Linked DNA regions of Neurospora crassa OR74A. The protein of the gene in region 2 interacts with the protein of the main gene of each other region in a pairwise test. Links are inferred from orthologs where the notes say so. Each region holds a gene or a part of one and is shown on either strand. Other genes may lie near its edges.

What was found.
Region 1: the proteins of NCU04507 (region 2) and NCU02658 interact in a two-hybrid assay, tested with the Saccharomyces cerevisiae proteins (3 studies listed by BioGRID). The link is inferred for Neurospora crassa OR74A from reciprocal best matches to the Saccharomyces cerevisiae genes NPA3 and GPN3.

The regions. Positions count from the first base shown.
Region 1 is NC_026501.1:3,093,720-3,098,136, forward strand, and holds NCU02658 (ATP binding protein), read left to right. Parts: upstream 1-1,578; 5' UTR 1,579-1,902; coding exon 1,903-1,950; intron 1,951-2,024; coding exon 2,025-2,876; 3' UTR 2,877-3,135; downstream 3,136-4,417. Other genes in the region: eth-1 (s-adenosylmethionine synthetase, variant), read right to left, coding at 28-87; NCU02659 (hypothetical protein), read right to left, coding at 3,519-4,000, 4,227-4,275. UniProt on the Saccharomyces cerevisiae protein: Small GTPase required for proper nuclear localization of RNA polymerase II and III (RNAPII and RNAPIII). May act at an RNAP assembly step prior to nuclear import. Promotes sister chromatid separation during anaphase.
Region 2 is NC_026504.1:3,142,018-3,147,178, forward strand, and holds NCU04507 (ATP binding protein), read right to left. Parts: upstream 2,856-5,161; 5' UTR 2,609-2,855; coding exon 2,536-2,608; intron 2,461-2,535; coding exon 1,334-2,460; 3' UTR 1,164-1,333; downstream 1-1,163. Other genes in the region: NCU04508 (hypothetical protein), read left to right, coding at 429-631, 719-743; NCU04506 (hypothetical protein), read left to right, coding at 4,126-5,161. UniProt on the Saccharomyces cerevisiae protein: Small GTPase required for proper nuclear import of RNA polymerase II (RNAPII). May act at an RNAP assembly step prior to nuclear import. Promotes sister chromatid separation during anaphase.

The sequences.
Region 1 (4,417 bases), on a different chromosome or scaffold from region 2:
ATATACAGAGTGTCGGCGCAGACTTACGGTGAAGAGGAAGGTTCCCTCGTTGTAGTGCTTCGCACCGTTAACACCGTTGGTGGCCATTGTGTCTGATGTGGTTTCTGGGATGAGTTAGCAATGTGCGCGTACAAAAGGCCAAGCACTGAATGAGTATGACTCGAAGAGAAAGGGGTTGAAGAGACAATTGGGTGGATGTGAGGCTTGAAAGTGCAAGAGGACACGGTTGACCAACTAATCACCCGGGCGCAAGGCGATGTACGGTATAGGAAGTTCGGGATGGCAGAGAGAGAGAAAAGAAGTGGTGAAGACTCCAATCGCAAGACACTTTGCTCGTTGAAGCCAGAGAGATGGTGTTTGGACCAAGGAGCCTGCACAATGGAGCTGCGATTGCCTTGTCCAGGATGCAGAATGACGCCTCAAAACTTTTTCTTTTTGGAGGACACGGGTTCGACACGTGGGGAGAGGGCTCTTTGGTTGGGATTGTTGGGGTTCGTCCTGACTGGAAGTGACTCACCTTCTGGTTGCGACGAAGCAAAAGACAGAGGAAGCAGAACCTACAAGAGGGAATGAAGTTAAGAAGAGGAGGAAAGAGATTGAGGGCTTGGAAGGAGCGGAGTTTATGTGAAAGAAAACGGGGGAGGTGGGTGTGGGAGTATTTGAGGAATTTTGCATCCAGTCGCGGACCCTGATGGAAAGGAGGCCGGGTTTCGGGCGCCAGAGACGGGATGGCGGGGTAACGAGAAACTTTCAATTCCGAATTGGTGTACAAAATAACAAATTCTGCCAGGGCTACTAGGGAAGAAAGATGCACGAGCTGGGCGGGGCTCCCCTACGATGGCGAATAATGCGCGGGGATCACGGCAAGAAGAACGGACCATCTCCATTTTACGCTTTCACGTGTAGGCGTCTAGCGTCTCCGGCTGGCCATGATCAAGTGGCAGCAGGAGAGCGGGCAGAACGAATGGATCATTGATCTTAGACTCTGGCATATCAGGCTGAGTGGTGAACCCAAGTGCACTCTATAGGTAGACGTCCGATATCGTGAACATGATCCAGCCGTCTGGATAAAGATAACCTCGAGATCGTTCTTTCTGTTGGAGTGCAGGAACTCAATCTCATCTGAAGTTCTTCAACATCTGCAACGGCACGCAACCGCCCAGCGGCCGACGGTTCGGCCGACACCACATATTTTGTAGCGTGCCCCGGCCGGGTAATGGTGTAGTGTACATAACCTGTCAAAAGTCTGGATGTGACCTTGGACCCGCTTTTTGAGAGAAGGAGAAATTGCGCAATCGCAGCCCTCTGGTCGTGCAACAAGTGGAAGGGTGGTGCCTTTTGGGTACCTTTGTTTGCCCTGCCAGCTCTGCTCGCGCATCGCTCTCATGGAAGCACACCGCATTTGACGCCATTCGTTGACATGATGTGACCCCAGTGGGGCACCTAGGTACAATTGTGTACCTCTACATAGTAGATGCCGCAAAAAAATTATCAAGGCGCGCTTACACCGGCAGGCATGTCTCGTGGCAATCGTGCCTGCAGCAGCGGCAACGCTATCAGGGCAGTATCCGTACTTATCAGGCAGTAGAAAGTTTGGCGATCGAGTCCGGGTATCGAGGCAACCTTTTCGTCACCAGTCGCATCATTTCGCATTGACGGGATTTTCCTTGTCACACCTGTACAGCACACAGCATCCGTTCCGAGCCCGAATAGACATCAACGACAATCCCACAAAGCTTCGTCCACACACCAAGATCCAGGTATCCAATCCTTTCGCCAGATCACCCCGCCGTATCACCGTCGCGCATCCGTCCAGTTGGGCTGCAGCTCAGAGTTGACAAGCAACTCCTCTCCACCGTTCATATATACGCACATCCTAGACGTCGGTGCATCATCGCGGCCATGAGCAAGTACGGTGTGATGGTGATGGGCCCCGCGGGGGCGGGAAAGGTAGGCTAGGCTCTAGTTAACGGCAATTCCCCATCTGCGCTTTCCACTGGTTCTCTAACGGCTCGGTGTGCCAGTCCACCTTTTGTGCATCGCTCATCACACATCTTCAACTTAACCGGCGCTCTGCTTTCTACGTGAACCTCGATCCCGCCGCCGAATCATTCGAACACACGCCCGATCTCGACATCAAGGACCTGATATCTCTAGAAGATGTGATGGACGAGATGAAGCTCGGCCCCAACGGCGGCCTGATCTACTGCTTCGAGTTCCTCATGGAGAACCTCGACTTCCTGACCGAGGCGCTGGACTCGCTGACCGAGGAGTACCTCATTATCTTTGATATGCCGGGTCAGATCGAGCTTTACACGCATATTCCAATCCTTCCTACCCTTGTCAAGTTCCTCACAACACCCGGCGCCCTGGACATTCGTTTGTGCGCTGCATACCTGCTGGAAGCTACCTTTGTCGTCGATCGTGCCAAATACTTTGCAGGTTCCCTGAGCGCCATGAGCGCCATGATCATGCTGGAAGTCCCGCATATCAACATTCTCAGCAAGATGGATCTGGTCAAGAACCAAGTAAGGAAGAAGGACCTCAAGAAGTTTATAACTCCGGATACCTCGTTGTTGCTTGACGATCCAGCGGACCTTGCCAGGAGGAAGGCGGGCGAGGACATCTCGGATGACCAGTACGCCGATCCCCAGGATAAGAACGCCATGCTGTCTGGCGCGACGTTCAAGCGCCTCAACACGGCTGTCGCGCAACTGCTTGAAACCTTCAGCATGGTCAGCTACCTCAAGCTGGATTCCACCGACGAGGACAGTGTTGGGGCAATTCTGAGCTACATTGATGACTGCATACAATACCACGAAGCACAAGAACCACGGGAGCTGAAGGACGAAGAGTTTGACGAGGCTGAGGAATAGTTGGAAGAGGAATGATTCGAAGCTTGAGAATGAAGGGGTCTCCAGATTTTGACTGAATTACAAATGGACTCGTCATTACCATATGGGCAAAATGTATAGGGATTCTGCATAGCGACGGCGTCGGGGAAGAAGATACAAGTTTGGCTCACCGAAAAAGAATGGGATGGGGTACGGAAGCAAAGCAATAATGATCTATATGTTCTTTTCCCACTTGACTACCAAAGCCCTTAAAACAGTATTCCTAACGCAAGGTCACCGCCTGTAACATTCACGTCCTCGGTCCTTCGCACCTCCAAGGTCGCAGATCTCGAACATTGCCTGACAGGAAACGCCGTAACGCCATGGGATATGCGGTATTCCAACAGCCAGCCACCCTCCAACTTTTATCGTCGTATCATCGTGATTTCGTCCGTAAAGCCAAAAAAAAAAAATCCACCTCGTACTCTCCTCCGCGAGGCATCGATTCTCCATCTCTCCTTTTCAAGAGTGATCGTCTTCTTCATAGTCATCATCCAAGATATCTCCACCATCATCTTGATCTTCCATCGCTGCCTGCCCTTTCCGCTTCACCCTGACGCCCTCCCCTTATCCACCCTTGCCTCTTCCTTGCTATCCAACAACATATCTCCCGCTGCTTCTCGTTTAAGCGCGATCATACTTAGCATGACCCCTCGCCTTATCCTGCGCCTCATACCTCTGCCACTCGGTCATGAAGAAATTCCAAATGCCCAGTCCATACCCGCTCGCCCTGCCCAGCCAGAACGTCGCATCCCTCGCGCTCTGCTCCACTCCGCGCCTGTACACCCAGCTTGCGACCGCCGCCATGCCCGCCCAGAACACCAGCGTGAACGCAAGCCTGGTGAAAAACATGAGCACCCGTCGCATCCAGCTCAGAACCTGCAGCACCATGACCAGCAGCAACAGCACGCCGGCGAGAATGACCACGTCGGGGGAGGCGTAGATGTATGCCGTTAGCCGCTCGACAAGCGGCTGCATGATCGGGATGAGAGTGGAGATGAAGGCTTCGATTGTTGACATTATGTGCCGCTTGAGAGATTGGATGGCGGAGTCGGGCGAGAGGAGGTGCTGACGGGCGAGGGAGAGGTAGGGGTCTGGGAGGACGCCTATGATGAGAAGAAGAAGAAGAGGATGGTAGGTTAGCGGACGGGATGCATCACAGAAAGAGGGAGGAAGGTGACGGGTTTTATGATGAGGTAAAAGCAAAAGATGTCCACGTCAAAGTGTGAATCGCAACGTGGCGCTTTGGGCTCTTTTGCATTCTTTTTGGGCTGGCATGCTGGTGAAGACTGGGGAAGTTCGGGGAGTGCGACAGGTTGGCGCAAGACTTACCAGTAAGAAGCTGGAGAGCCCATTCGATGGGGAGGTTGAACGGATCCATAGTGTTTGACGATGATCTAGCCGTGGCCTGTAGAGATTGGTGGGTAGTCGCGCGAAGCAAGGAGGTCTTATATAAAATTCTGGTGAGGAAGCAAGCGAAGATGTGAAATGCGATTTGCGATTGCGGTATCTGTTGTGTTGTT
Region 2 (5,161 bases):
CCACAGAAGAGTGGAGAATTTATCATGATATGACAGGGGTAACTTGCATTCGCAAAGTCCGAACGCCGCCTGCTTCTGTCACCCTTTGTCAAAGTCTGGAACTTTCTGCCTCAGCGTCCCGCCTTTTTTTACCTTTCGTTGTTCGCGTCCAGTTGAAACTCAGTCGCCTGTATAGGTAGCGCTCCGTCCCTCTCGTCCGTCGCAAACCACTCCACCGGTAAATATTCAACATCATCATCATCATCAACCGAACGACATCATCGTCGCATATCGCTATAAATCGCATAACATCGATTTGTCGTCGCCTCAACACAAAGACAATCTTACACGTTGCATAACCGTCATCCAATTTATCCGAGCAAACCCGACGACAAACAAACCCAAACCACAAATACCACACCACCCTCAACACAACACAAACAACCAAGATGTCTTCCCGCGAGCAATACCAGGTCCCCAACTCCCAGGGCTTCACCACCGGTGCCTCTAACAACGACGGCAACAGCGGTGGCAGCAGCGTCATGTGGTACACTTGCGGCGACTGCGCGGTCCGCGTGCCGCTCGAGAAGGGCGCTCCTATCCGTTGCCAGAAGTGCGGTGCGCGTGTTTTGTATAAGGAGCGCACCAAGAGGTACGTTTTCTTTGGGCTTACCCGGTGGAAGATTCTGAGAAGGTGGGAGAGAAAAATCTTATGCTAACGACGGTCTGGGGGTAATAGAATGGTTCAGTTCGAGGCTCGGTAAATGGTTTCTTATTCGACTTTGTTCGACTTGGGGCCAACAAAGGAGGTGTAGAAAGGGGTCGCTCTTCCTCGATGCCGTATCGGGCTGAAGTTTTCATCGTATTTGGACCGGCCGGGATGTCCTGATGCCCAAGGACGGGAGCCGAGTCAGCCTTGGAGGCAACGGGAACATTTGTCGAGGGGAGCTGGGACCGTAGGAGACTCGAACCGTCGATATCTTGGTGTGATTTTGCACCATTAGCGGTGGCTTAGCATGGCCCAGCCTTGAACCTACGGCTTGTTGTGATCAGAAGAAGGGAGATATCATATTCATCACAATATCATGATGGCGGCGTTCTGGGAAATATCGGTAGACTTGTGGGAATTTATACAAAGAAAGCATTGCTTTTCATCATCGTCATCATCACCTATCACCATCAGATGGATCCGTTCTGTGATGCTTCTCATTATTGATCATGTTTTTTGCCATATAGAATATTGGTATGGTATCACTCTGAAAACGCCGGTTGTATGCTAAATCTCCTTCCCTCTCGATCACTTGTCTTGCCAACACTGCTCCATAAATCCTTTCCTTACCAATGGCCAATCTCATCACCTCTGGCTGTGGAGGTACTTTGCAAAACTTGCGTCGGCCAAAACCGAATCATCCTCGCCCTGCATGGCAGCGGCGTACCTCGCCTGCAATCCCTCGCGGTCATACTCGTCGTTGGGATCGTCACCATATTCCTCGTCGCTGCTCTCCTCGTCCGTGCTCAACGGCTCGGGGGCCTCTTTATCATTGACGTCACCCACTGTGACGTCGCCCGCCGCGTCGCCCATCGACATTCCCTTCATCATTTTGTTGAGTTCCCTCTCCCGCGCCTTCTTCTTGTTCTCCTCCCTTTCTTCGCGCCTCCTCTCGAGCTCAGGCTGGTAATCGCGCTTGAACTCCTCTGCCTTCTCCTGAACCGCGGCAAAGAACTCGTCAATGCCCGTCCCGTACAGCGAACTGACGCCCACCACGTTCAGATGTGCGTAAAACTCCTCCAACATCAGACTCATGCTGTTCAACAGCGAGCCCATGTATCCGCTGCCCGAGCCCATGCCATCGCCGCTGCCCTCCGCTCCGCCAAACGCGTTGTTGGTCTCGTCCTCCTGCAGCGCAGCCTGGAACGCATCATAGTCGGTCATCCACTCCTTTGCAAAAGCCGGGTCCTTAACGTCCGACTTGTTGAAGACCAGAATCATGGGCAGCTTGGTCTTGTAAAGGATACTGCAGGCGTACAGCATGTTGCTCATGAAGGTCGACGTCGAGCTCGTCCGGGGGGTGTCGATGATGTAGGCGATGACGGTGGGGAAGGATGAGGCGAGCGACTCAAGGAGAATCTGGCCCGACGCGGACCAGACGAACACCTCGATCTGGCCCGGCGTGTCGACGAGAATGTGCTTGATGGGCGTGTGCGTCGGGTCGTCGGGCTTGGGCGCCGTGCGCTTCTCGAGCAGGCCGAGAACCTGGTCGACTTTGGTGGCAAAGAGGTTCAGCGATGTGAGAATGCCGCCGTTGGGGCCGAGGTTGTACTGCTTCATCACCTCCTTGTAGTTGACCGAGTCGCGGATGTCAATGTTGCTCTCGAAGGGCGAGTGGGTGACTGCTGGGTCGAGGTTGATGACATAAGGAGGCTCCTTCTTTCCGTGGAGATGGGCATTGATCTGTTGCATAAAGGTTGTCTTGCCGGATCCTGGGGAACATGGTCAGCTGGATGATTCCGCTTGCGGTTGGGAAAAGCACAGAACATGAGCATGCGTAGACCTACCTGCCATGCCAACGCAGACGATGGCAACAGGCTGGTCAGCCTTGGCGGCAGACGATGCCGAAGTCGAAGCCATGGTGCGACAGCTGTGCACGGGTGCGTGGAAGATCGTTTGGTGATCTCTGTGTTATCTGTCGGATAAAATCAAAGTTGTTGCAGATTTCAGTTTGCGCAGAGATGGTGTTGTAATGAGTCTCGGGAAGAAAGTTTCACGGATGTCGTAAGCGGCGGGGTCACTGCTGTAGGGATGGTCATAGGTGGTTGCGACGGAGTGAATGTCCGAGGGCCACAGAGGGGCAACACCGCAAGAGAAAAAAAAAAACAAAAAAAAACCAAAGTCCATTGATCGCCTGGCGTAGCGGGCGGAAAGGTTCCATCCATCAAGGCATGGGTGGGGTGAAGGGTAGGTAAGGCTTGGCATTTTGTTTTCCCCAAAGTGAAATGACTGAAACCTCGACATTGGTCTCTTTTCATCCTCTCACCCATTCATCTTCCAACTACCTACGCCTTCATGTTCCTCGACATCCAATCCATATCTGGCCGGCTCGCATCTCATCCATCATCTTTTTACCAATTTGGAACTAAATCAGTTGGCGACCTATACCCTGTTATCATGCCTATATCAAAAGCCCATATGGCCTGCTTGACAGCTTCTTGTTTTCAGCCGAGCCGCTGTTAATCCGCGAATACCACAGCCCTCAACCGCCGCAGTAGCTAGTCGACACTCGACCTAGTAACTTGGCGGTCCCGCTCTTCAAGTTATACCCCGGTATTATGGGTGCCTGGATATTTTAGGATCTCAACGGCTGGATGGCATAGCACTTGCCGCGGGCAGACAAGCCCCGAAGGCTTCATCGACCTCACAGGCTATTGTTCAATGAAGTCTGTCCACTTGTCCAGTTTCAACTAATCCTTTCACGCCTAGCAATGAAGCCGGATACGGATGCTTTTTGGACAATTCGGGGAGTCGTCGAGTGGCAATTTGATACTGCTGAACGAGACCGGGATAAGCGATGGGAGAAAAGGCGTCTCACGTCATCTTCGGAAAAGGTCAGGAACTATAGGCAGGATGCTGGCGGGGGCGATTCACCAATGCCAATGACCGCTAAACCCATGCTAAGCGTATGGTCGGTGGTCCCGCGCTGGGGAGTGGGCGCAGCCGGTGGCCTCTTATTGCGTCAAAATTCTCTTCAAAATGGTGGGTGATGGGAGCTGGGTTGGTCCAATAAGCCACAAACGTAATGGCAAGATCCGTCTGTTCGGCACTACCAGGAGGCAGCGTGGCCGGGAACCAAGCGGCCATCCACAGGCTGCCCCTCATGATACTCAGCCCTACCAACCTACCTCTACCACGTTCTATCCATTATACTCCAAGCTGACCCCCAAGATCCGTTTGAATTCTCTCCCTCCCACTTCCTCTCTTGTTTCGTCTCTCGTCCCACACCAGGGCCAGATTCATCATCCGACTTGGGCCAAATTCCAGCGACTCATCAAATCCAGGCTTCGGAGATCGGCTACTATACCCTGCCCACACCTCTATAGAGGTGAATAAACTTTCATTTATCGGTGTTACATATCTACCCACAGCATCCAATGTCCACCATGTTGCGCAAGAAGGAAGCCTTCACCGTTATCACGCCCATCCCGGGCTTCATTCCACGACAGTTGGCCATCGACATCCTTCATTCTCATTCTGAAGTCATTACTCTTAACCCTCTTGTCCTCGACCACAAGCCCATCGCGGCCCCCCAGGATGCAGAAACAGACGAGTATTATGCGACATGGTATGAGATCACCGAACGAGTCACGATTCTGCCTGGAATTGGGAGGATGGGGGCTACAACCATCAAGTTCAATGGCTGCTTTCACGACATGCCGTGGGGTCTTCAGACTCACATATACGCCCCCATGAACGTTGACCTTCGCAACACCTATCGCATCGCCGGTAATCAACCAAACTTTGAGCCTCCAGAGCCACTTGAGATGGGGTTATCAGCTCTTGGGGCACCGTCGGATGGGTTATATCTCCGTGAGGATATTGAGATCAAGTGCAGTCGCACTGTCATGAGCTTTGTCAAGTCGCAAATGAAGAAGGCGGGTGGGGAAATGGTGAGACGCATCATCAAGAAGGCTGAGTTACTGGATGCTGGCGTGCTTCAGGCTATGATCGAGGACGGAAAGCTGAAGACGTTCAACCCGGCCGACAAGAGGAATACAGTCCGACGACCGGCGGTGGCTTCTCCGGGCCCTCAGTTTTCGCCCACATTTGCCAGCTCATCGGCCTCTGGTACACCACCTCAGTCTCCCGGTATTCCCTACCAGATCCCGCGACCGCTATCTGCTACTCCCAGTCAACACCGGTCAAGTACTCCTGGATCCTACCACCGTCCTAACAGCTACGGAAAGGCACCAGCTGCTTTCGGCTATGGAACCCCGAATGGACCACAGGAGCTGTCTGTCACCAACCCTGAACCGGTCTCAAATGGTCCGATTGAGATGCCAGGCGACTTCTACCACGCCCCATCAAACCTTCAGCCTCAATCTCTGTCATCCTCCAACCGAAATTCCAGTCAGTCATACTCGTCCGACCGGCCACAAGCAAGCCCGAACCCATCATTACGCAGCGGGT